Drosophila melanogaster: one gene and its partners. The protein of the gene in region 1 interacts with the protein of each later gene in a pairwise test. Each region holds a gene or a part of one and is shown on either strand. Other genes may lie near its edges.

What was found. The genes of interacting proteins can lie anywhere in the genome.
Region 2: the proteins of E(spl)m7-HLH (region 1) and CG12496 interact in a two-hybrid assay, tested with the Drosophila melanogaster proteins (one large-scale study listed by BioGRID).
Region 3: the proteins of E(spl)m7-HLH (region 1) and CG14005 interact in a two-hybrid assay, tested with the Drosophila melanogaster proteins (one large-scale study listed by BioGRID).

Annotation. Positions count from the first base shown.
Region 1 is NT_033777.3:26,035,376-26,038,521, reverse strand, and holds E(spl)m7-HLH (enhancer of split m7, helix-loop-helix), read right to left. Parts: upstream 1,485-3,146; 5' UTR 1,360-1,484; coding exon 799-1,359; 3' UTR 503-798; downstream 1-502. UniProt on the Drosophila melanogaster protein: Participates in the control of cell fate choice by uncommitted neuroectodermal cells in the embryo. Transcriptional repressor. Binds DNA on N-box motifs: 5'-CACNAG-3'.
Region 2 is NC_004354.4:2,408,707-2,412,511, forward strand, and holds CG12496 (uncharacterized protein), read right to left. Parts: upstream 2,196-3,805; 5' UTR 2,091-2,195; coding exon 1,029-2,090; 3' UTR 659-1,028; downstream 1-658.
Region 3 is NT_033779.5:5,799,859-5,803,641, forward strand, and holds CG14005 (uncharacterized protein), read right to left. Parts: upstream 2,118-3,783; 5' UTR 2,029-2,117; coding exon 1,814-2,028; intron 1,751-1,813; coding exon 1,012-1,750; 3' UTR 659-1,011; downstream 1-658. Other genes in the region: CG7239 (uncharacterized protein), read left to right, coding at 2,547-2,854, 2,914-3,783.

The DNA of each region.
Region 1 (3,146 bases):
TATAACAATGTATTGTATTGTGCTAAAGGATGTCAAATACTTTCATTTCATAGTCTGTTGACAAAATAGTTACTGAAATAGAATATAAGTAAACACATCGTGCAAATGAAAAATAACGACCATTAAAAATATGAAATTAAATTCCTTTTTATTATTAAATGCATGCTTGACAACTAAGTGCACATTAGTGGAGCATGTTTTGCTATTATGTTTAACTGTTATTGAAACTTGTTATTAATATAGCTCGTTTAGGATAATGATGGGCTTTAAGATAATGAACATAATTTATGGGAAGTCCATTTTTTTACACGTGTCCTAAATAAGCTAGTGCACACGATCGTTTTATTATATTGGACCTTAAAGTTCGCGCATACCAACATTAAATATTTTCAATGGAATCTTCTTCCTATTGGAATTTAAAGACAAATACTGAAGTTCAATATCCCCTATTGGATTGTGCTGTAAAATAGATTCCCCAAATAATAAGATTCTTGTATAATTTCATTTCATATTTTGATTTGTATTTAAGTTTTTCATTTTGTATCTTTTCATATTGTGTTCTTGAGATCTCTTAGCTGGTAAACATTTGTATATATGTAGAGTAAAAAACAGACTTCTGCTCGATTGATTTAAGACAAAAGTTAATAAAGCGTGCCCTATCACAGACTTAACTTAGAAACCTAAAACTTGGTAACGTAACAAATAAATGAGGATCATTGTAAAGCATTTTTTCTAAAGCTGCGGTTCCAATTGCGTGATTGCCCGTCGGGAATTCAGTCCTTCCAAGTAGATCTTTGTTTACCAGGGACGCCACACCTGTCCGGGGCTGCTGATCTGGAGCAGAGACTCGTTGTCGCTGGCATATCCACTGGAAACGGGACTGATGGAGGAGCAGGAGCTGGCACTGGAGTAGGTGCTGGAGCTAGAGCTGGATCCACAGACGATACTGAGTGGAGTGTTGACGGCTTGCGGTTGTTCCATGGGCTGCTCCAGTTGGTTGAGACGCATGCCCAGATGGGTCATCAGTGTGGTTCCAAAAGCCACATCCACTCGGGGAAGGGAGGCCAGGGCGCGGGACACTTCGTTGGCTGCCCGGATGTATCCAGCACGGAAACTCTGTTCGGGATTGGCCGGAACATGCTTCTTAGACTCTTTCAGCTTGCGGAGATGCTGCACGGTGACTTCCAGGATGTCGGCCTTCTCGAATTTGGCATCGCCAGTCTGAGCAACGCACTCGGCCATCAGATCCTTGAGCTCGTCCAGGCACTTGTTGATCCTGGCACGACGCTTCCGCTCCAGCAAGGGCTTCATCACCTTGCGGTACTGATAGGTTTTCGACATCTCGTATTTGGTGGCCATTGTGTGTTTGTTTTGTTTATTTGTTGCGTTTAGGTAAATGGAAGAACGACTTGTTGAAGAACTTCTTCGATCTTTCGGAGGAGGTTATCCTGAGATGTTGACTGCACGACGATTGCGTTCGAAATGTTGCATTCGTCTCCGGTTACCGCTGCTTTTATAGCTGCACGTGCCGCCGCGAGAGCGTCTCGTGCTCAGCGCACGCTGCTCGGAGAAAGAGAGAAGAGAGAGCTGCGGAGCCTCCGAAGAACCACCACCTGCGGAGCAAACTACTTTTACTCAGTCACTGGGACACGATCCTCTCGCCTGCATTTTCGGTGGTGGGTTTTTCTCCACAAACAAGTTTGGAACACACCTGCGGTAAAAATAGTATGAGAAATGTGTTTAAAGCAGCTATAGTTCTTCGAGCGAATATACAAATTTGTTGTTATATACCTAAGAAGTACGTTACGTTTTTAACAATTACTTCAAATGGGTTTCCCTTAAAGCACTTAAATGTCGTTTTATTAAACAAAAAGAAATTAACATAATGTTATACGTTTACACCTAAAAAATTAAATTAGCACACTTCTTAATAGTAGTGATTTTGAAAATATAAACATTATCTAGAACTTTAAATATGTTCTCAGTACTATTGCTATGGCCACTGGTGTTCGGTGTAAGTGAGTCTCGGCAGGGGATGAAGATGCGATAGTGCAGTGGTGGTGGTGCGACGGTGGTTGCACATGCTGCTTCTCTGTTTTCCTTTCCACTGACATTCGAATCGTGGGAAACACTTTGCCCTCAAGTTTCCCACAAGATTTTTCTCGCTCGTTGGTGTTATAAGTTATAATCGGAGGTAGCCCGTGTGCGAGTCCCGAGTCCGAGCTCCGAGTTCCGAGCCCTTATGCACATGGCACAGTGGGCCAAACCGATGAAACACATGCGGGAATTTTGAGGGTGCCTTGCTTGAATGAATTCTTCAAGGCTTTTCCAACTACGTGAAATTTAAGGTTTACGGAATTTACGCATACTGTTATCTACTTGCTAGACAAAGTTTTAGCAATTTCTGTAGGGATCGTGGGAATGCGAGTTTTGGGATGTCGGAAATGGGGTTTTCCAAGGCGAAGATGTGTGCAATTTTGGGACTCGCAGGTTTGGAAATCAGTATCTTACGGATTTTTTGTTGCCTGTTCTCAACTTGCTACGGTTAATTTGAGAACCTCTATTCAAAGTCGTGGGAATGTGAGTTTTCGAATGTGATTTTTGGGGTTTTACCAAACGGAACATGCGTGCAATTTTACGACTTGCAGGTTTTAGAGTAAGTGTTTATGGATTTCTCGATGTGTTTCTACTTGTAAAGAATTTTTACTAAACTATCTGCTATGTTGGAAAGGTACATTTGTTCCTAGAGGTTTTTCTAGGCATATATAGTCCGAGTATAGGGACTTTTGTGAAAGGTGTTTTCTACTTGCTACGGATAATTTTGTTAGCTGCGACGGTGAGTGGGAACCTGAGTCTTGAAAAACATTAAGGTTCGTGAAGGTTGCAGTTTACAGAATATCTATGTATGGGATTACTGTACCCAGATGGGTGAAATAAAGAAATATTTGGAAAAGATGTTCTTGTCAGGTTATGATGTTTAAAAAATTTCTAAAAAAAGAAACCATTTTGTAGTTTGTAGCTAAAAGCATCTAAAGATTGTGACAAGACCCTAAATTGTTTTCAACCAATTTTCGTTCCATTCGAACCACTGTAAATCTGACCGAGCTGCTAGTGCGAGTCACGGGTAGTGCTGAAAAAACTACCAC
Region 2 (3,805 bases), on another chromosome or scaffold:
TCGATGGGAAAATAGCCAATTGAGCAGCACAGCGGACGCAGAGTCCTGAGTCCTCGGAAACAAGGAGTGGACCAGCTGTTGGCTGCCTCTGACTTCTTCTTTTCTTCTTGATTGTAGATCCCGGGGCGTGCCATTGTACCTGTCAGGCATTCAATTATTCCCAGTTCCCAACCTGCATCGCCGTTGTTTGTTTTGGTCGCCTGGAAAAGCAAAGCAAATCGCTTGGTCAAGCAACTGTGTAAATATATGTTGTACGTATCGGCAGGTCAAAATGCAATCGGCACGAGCTGGGATATTGCGTAGGTGACGAAGGTCACCGCAGATGTTTCGCATTCATCAGAAAACTCGATGCGATGCTATGGCACAACAAAAATGATATTTGTTCGTATCTCGAAAATAGTTCAGAAACCAACTATAAACCTAACATTTAAAGAGTAGATTCCAATGGATACATGAGAAAACATTTCTAGACTATGAAGATAGTCTAGTCTTTTTCAAATATCACCATTTTGAAATCAATACAATCCCATATCCCTATATTGGGCAGTACGCATGGAAGTAGCCAAAGTTACTCAAAAAAGCGACATTAATGATGATAAGCTGATATATAAAGTTTTCCCCGTTTCAAAAGAAAAGAAAAGTGTACTCCATTGTTTTTGATTTAATGCTTTTATTTTGAAAAAATAATTATTTGGGTAACTTAAAGTAGCAATAAATATTCATATTTGTTTAAAATTAAATAATGAAAAAAAAGGTATATTCGAAAACTACATAACAGCAGCAAAAAAAAAAATGGTTATATTAGTAATTGGAATAAATAGTGATTAAGGTGGCCTAAGAAATTATGTACAGTAATTGAAAGATGATTAGTTTACGACTTAGGAACTAGTTAAGCGTCATAGTTAAGCGTTTTCCCCCCGTTTGTCAGCGTTGCTCGCTTTCTCGTCTCCATCTTCATCTCCATCTCGCATTTAGTTTCTCTTCTCATTTTTGTGGCTTTCCGAGGATCTGTTTGAAATTACCTCTGCTCAGACATATATAGACGAGGGCAGGGCCAATCCCACCTCGAAGTAATTGCGCTCGTCGACCTTGTAGCGCTTAATGGGGGACTCCTTGGCGACGATCTCCTTGCGGGTCCTCTTCAGGGCCTTGACTGGAGTCTCCAGGCAGAAGGTGTTGTCGCAGGGGGCAGACTTGGGGGCCACTGGAGTGGCCAGTTGGACAAGCAAGTTGTGAGGAATCTTGGCCAGGGGCGATGCCGGTTCCGGAGTGGGCATCAGGTTGTGCATGGGCAGGGGAACCAGGCCAAAGCTCAGATCCGAGGCCGGATCGTCTCCAGGTGCGTAGGATGGCGACAGCACCTCCTGGGGGCAGTTCGACTCCATTTGCTGCTTGACCAAGGTGCGTCTGCGCAGATTGAAGGTGGACCTTCTCGGCTTCTTCTTGCTGCTGGCGTTCGCCTTGCAGGCGGAATCCAAGATGGCATCGATTAGGCGATCCAAGGTCTGATCACCCATCTGCGTGGAGGCGGGCTGCGGTGTGCTTGGACGCACTTCCACCTTGGGGGTGGGTGGCTCTGGCACTGCCGTCTCCTGCAACTCCGGCTCCAAGGTGGCCACAAAGTCCTCGTCCAGTCTACGCTGCTTGAGTTTGTTAACTCCTGCACCCGAGCCTACAATATAGCGCGGCTGGCCCAGAAAGGGATCCAACGGAGCCAGGCCCCTCAGCGCCAAGTGCTGACCACTGGGCAGTCCGTTGGGCGAGTAGTCCTCGGCAAAACGTGGCAATGTGGTGGCGTATCGCACACTCTGTACCCTTTGGGGCGCCTGACTGCGCACCACCGCCTCCGGGGTGACATTCCGGATATCGCTCAGCGGCGCCAGGACCAGGGGACTGTTGCGCAGCCGGGTAATGGGCACTGGCGTGGAGGTGTAGCCCACGGTGTCAGGCACGTTCTCCTTGTTGGCAATGGTGGCCCTCCGCTGACGGCGCTGCCTCCTCTGCAGCCTCCTCCTCTGCGGCTGGTTGGCATCCTGATCGTGCACGGGAATCTCGTTCAGGCGCTGCGCCGATGCCGTCCACTTCAGCATGTTGTGTGTGGTTCTGTTTCTGCTGCTCCTGGTGCACAAAAAAAAAAGATGTACTTCTAGACTCTGCTAGTCTTCTGCTCTCGACCGCTCTCGCTGACAAACTGAAGCGGTACGGGGAGCGGGCTGCGTTTTATACCCGCTCGGCGCTCAGGGGTTAATGGCTAGGGGTTACGGGGCTAGGGGTTGTTGCGCAAGAGGCACCCCGGCGGGCAGAAGGACACTCGCTCTCTCCGGCGTTCTCTCCTTGGATGAAAAGACTCTCTTTGGCCAACGGATGTGTGTGGTAGCAAATTGTCTTTGGATCTCGAGGAACTTGAGCAACAAGCTCGAGGATATCAGCAGCTTAGCTTAGAATATGAAAGTATGATCTCTATGCCAACGAGATCTGATATTTTGATGGAGGTATTGGAGGTATTCGTCCTTTCCCACAGTTCGCAGTACCGGCCGAGAATCACCCACTCCAATCCAGGCACTCATCCACAGCACCACCACACGAAAATGACATCTAGATGTCTATCGGCCAGCGCTTGGTTATTAAATTTGCTTTCATTCCCCTCAAGGAAGTCTGCTTCCTTTCGCCCTTGTCTCCCCCTCATTTGAATGGACATTTAGAGCAGCAACAGGCTGGAAAATAGTGAACGGAAAAGGGAGAAGGGAAGTCAGGTTGGCCGGCTAATTAGCCGATGCCAAGTCCAACTTCCTGGCCGACAGCTCCTCGTCATTTTAGCCACTTGTCGTAGCGCGGTATCAGTATTAATTGCGGCTCTTTAGCGGCCGCAAATGCAATTTATATACTCGGCGGCTTTAATTGAAAATGTTTGCCACTTCCGGAAGGAAGCATTAGAAAAACGTTACAAACTCTGGGAAAAGTCCTGTGCAAAGCGTCAGTTGCTCACCCAACAGGGGAAAAGTTTGTACACAGTATGCATTATCAAATTATCAACTTTTTAATAAGTGTTCTTTCTACAAATAGATGGGCCTCATGCAATGCAAATTCACAACTTGTATGGATTTAACTTTGAAATGTAAATGTAAAAGGAAATGGTTCCCATAACCTTTGTAGTGATCTATATTTTAAAGCACAGCCGCTGTCCTCCATATGAATATGAAATATGGAACCAATAAGTAGATTATATTTCCGATGACAAGATCAAAGATAACTGCCCCCATATGTGGCTCTTGACCAGCTGTAGATGAAGTGATCATCGAGATCCCTGAGTGATCTTCAAGTGATCATCGACCAGCGATCCTAAGTGACGTTCAAGTGATCGGCGCTCGTCATCTCCTGGACTTGGATCACTCAAAGTGTCCGTGACCGACGTGGCTTGCTATCTGACGTTCTGATCTAGTTCAGCATGTAAAGGCATCTTTGAATGGGTTCTGGTCCCCTGGAGATATCTTTATTTGCGATCGATTGCTGAAAGATTTTCGCTAACGGGGATCGTATATTTCGCACGTTATCCTTTTCGGCTTTTTTGTGGTGAAAGTCGTTTTGTTTCATATGTTTTCATGTGACTATCTTCCGATCGGCTTTCATCCTGGATAGGGACACAAAAAGGGTGCTGGGGTAGTTAATCGATTACCCCGTTCCATCCACTGAAATGGCGAATTTCTCAACTTTTCAACTCTTTTTCAACGTTTACTTTGCGAAATGCGCTCCTGCTTTTGCTTACTTTTTACCTCTTTTCCCTTCGATTTGCCCTCGTTATGTCCCC
Region 3 (3,783 bases), on another chromosome or scaffold:
TTTCAATCCGTGTGTGCTGCACACTTGTTTTTCCTTCTTTAGCCCCGATTCCACGGCAATTTGTGCACTTCGCTGCCGTTCGTTTGTTTTATCCCAATCTTAATCTTTATTTTTATCCCAGACTGGCGGCTGGCTGGCTTTCTCCGCACCGCACAAGCACACACACTCGATACAATCGCACACACCTTGATGCGCTCCTTTGGCGAGCCACTCATTTGATTTAAAGGCCTTTTCCGATTGGCACGCGCGTCCGCCACCCGCACACACGCGAAAAACACGACCGTTTCGCTCGAAGTCTCGAAATCGAAAAAGTGGAAAAGCCTACAAAAAGTCTGTGGCATTTCGGTTGGCAGAGAGCGCATTGTGCGCTAAGAGAGCGACTAAGAGAGGTCCGCATGCGGTGTTTGCGGATATTTTCACATTCCGGCTACGGCCACACTGCTGCAGCAGGGGTTGATGAACAAATAACCGGCGGTTGTTGCACACGCTAAGTTGATCGAAATGCAAAACTTAATAGGCTATTCACACTGATTTCATTTGAATTTATGTTTGATTTCGTTACTATTATATCAACAAGATATTCTGTAACAATAGAAATAATAGTATAGTCTATATAGTATAGTATATATATATAGTATAATAGTCTTTCATCTAATTTATTTTTTAGCCAGTTGTTTAGTTTTAGTTTTTTTTTTAAAAATGTAGCTACCATACAAGTTCGCCTCAAGACAATGTTTTTAATTTAAGACTAAAGACCGTATAGATTGATCTTTTGCACAGACGATTGTTCATACACATTACACTTATGACGCTAGAAAAAGAACGTTTGAGAAATTATAATATCTTCGGTTCGCTATGCTGCTGCTTTGTACGTCGAGTGAATTAGACATCTGTGTCTGAGAAAGGAACGAATTGAAAAACATACACAGGGTCGAGCGCCGCGACTCTATTCCCAACTTAAAGCTAAAGCTGTCATACAATGTCCTTACCACGTGGTGCTAGTAGTCGGGATCATGGTTCCAGCTTGATGGTCGTTTGCTTTATTAACGCCAGCACTGCCTCCTGCCGCTCCATATACGCCAGAAAGTTATGTTTCATGTCCAGGAACTGCTTCTCCTTGCGCACGAGCGACTGCAGACAGGCGTCGTTCTGCTGCTCGAGCAAACTGTTCTCCTTGCGCAGCGCCTCCACTATTGCCATTGTGATCTTGCCCGAGTGCGGCAGTATACTACGTCGCCCTCGTCTCCTTTTGCTCGCCGAACGTTCGGCGTCCGTCTGGCCACCGTTGGTGTGGCCTCCATATGGCGCATCCTCTGCCTCGGGCAGGATGTGGTTGGCAGGCGTGAGAGGCGACCGCTGAATGACACTTTCGGCAGTAGCTCTCTCCAGGTAGTGGCTAGCCGCGTTTTCCAGCTGCGTCACTGTGGGCTTGTATTCAATATTCACCAGCTGGTGGTGTTCGTCTGGCAGAGGCTCTGTCTTCACTACTGCGGGAACTAGGGGCTGGGCATCGAGGAAGGTGCATCCCTCTGAGTCGCGCTCAAATTTTAGCTGGGCGGGCGAAGTGTATAGCAGTGGCGGCAGGGCGGGCAAATCCACACGTGCTGTCGCACGGATCGTCTCCAGCACATTGCGGAAATGGAAGAGGGCGGACGACGGCCAGGCAGGACAGAAGAGGCAATCGATCAGCGCGTAGAGACGCCAATCCTTCGCGAAGTTCGCATTGCCCCCCACGCGATTGCGATCGTTCCTGCAGAGAAGTGGAAGGAGATATTAGCACTGTGAACTGACCCGAGCCGCTGCTGCGCCTCACAAATACTTGTTGCGGTAGCTGTTGATGCGCCGGCGAGCCTCCTGCTTATTGAGCCGAACTCCGTTCTGCTGCAGGCCGTGCGCGATTTCCCGGAAAATGGGCAGGTTGTCCGTGTAGGAGGGTATGGCATGCAGGTGCTCGCGCCACAGCCGCAGTAGCATGGCCTCCTCCAGCGACGTGTAGTAGCGCAATCGCAGGTGCTTCTGGCCGCTCATATTCCGGTCTAATTTCAATTTTGTGGAATCGTTATAATCCAAACATTTTCGTACGTGACCAAGGACCAGGCGTGGAAATACCAATAACGCTTGAGCGCGGCAGGCGCCAAAAAATACCATCAATGATTTAAATTTTCTTATAGAGCTATTGAAATCTGGAAAAGATATATCTAATATCTTAATAATTTTATTTCTTAATATTGGACTAGCCCCAAAGCCATTCTCCCAGCTGTAGTATATACATGATACTGATATGGTACTAAATGAAATTTATTATATTACTTATTTCAGGAAATTCGCTCAGGAATCTAGGCATTTTCGGCGTTCTCGCGCCGCAAGGTCACACTCTTCTGTGTATCAGAGCTGTTGTTGATTTTTTGTGCGGAAAAACTGCACTTGGCTTCAACCATTCTACCACAGCGTCGCATTGTGTAACTAGAGTGGAGATCGCATATCCAAAGGCAACGTTACAGGGATACATCTGCGGGAGCAGATCAGGAGCCGGTGCAGAGCAGTCGATGGACTACGAGAAGCTGGCGTTGAACGCGGGCGGAAGCGGCAGCGGTGCCGAGCAGGACTTAGGCATGTGCGGTGGTCAGGAGCTGCTCGATGGCAGGGGCAAGGAGAAGGCGCGTCGCTACTGGACGCCCAGCGAGGAGGAGCGCCTGTACGAGATCTGGGGACGCGACAACTGGCGCCTGACGCGCACCGGCAAGAACACCATCTTCTTTGGCCGGTGGGCCGAGGAACTGCGCGACCGGTTCGCCGTGGACGTGAAGCCCGAGGAGATCCAGATGAAGGTCAACCAGACCAGGGCCAAGTTCAGGTAGGTAACCGTTTAGACACTTTGCTATACCGGATTAACTGACTGGTTTCCCTTTTAAGGCAAGTCAAAAAACAGCTGCAGGCGGATCCTTCGAGCTATGCTACGCGCTGGAAGAAGTACGACATTATCAATCGCATCCTGAAGAACCTGCACAGGCCCAAGAACGCCGATCCGCTGCCGCCAGAGGCGCTGCTCAACAACCGCGACATGACACCGCCCCGGGATGATGCGTCCGCAGAGCAGTTGCAGCAGCAGCCACAGCAGCAATCCGTTCAGCAGCAGCAGCAGCAAGGCTTGGGACTGGCCAGTGAGCCAAGCACTGCCACCTATTACAATAGCAGCAGCAATAGCAATCACGGCAGCAGCCACAACAACAACACCAGCGGCGGAGTTAGCTTCAACACGGAGCTGTTTACGGACCAGTATGACGAGGTGGTCAAGCAGGAGTACGAGGACGATGAGTACCGCTCCATTCCCTTTCAGGAGCAGTTGCAACAGTATTCCCCAGCCGAGCCGGCTCAGCTGCTCGAGCTGCAGACGCCACAGCAGCAGCAACAACTGCAGCAGCAGCAGCAACAACAGCAGCAGTTCCAAACAAACTATGAGTCGCAATTTCAGCAGCAGCCGGCTCAATTCAATAACAACAGCGTTATTAGCACTGCGGCCACATCGACCGTCAACCATCAGCCCATAACGGCGGTAGCCTATATCAATAGCAGCAATAACACCATCAGCGTGGCCACAAACGCAAACGGAGGCATGCCAGCGCCGGTGCCCGCACAGGTATCGGCATCGGTTCCGGCTGCAGCTCCAGTTTCGACCACCAACAACGCCGTCGTTGGCGCCTCCCCCGTCCCTGTGCCACGGAAGCGCGGTCGTCCATTCGGATCTGTGAATCCCCCACACGCAGACTCGCTGGAGGCGCTCTA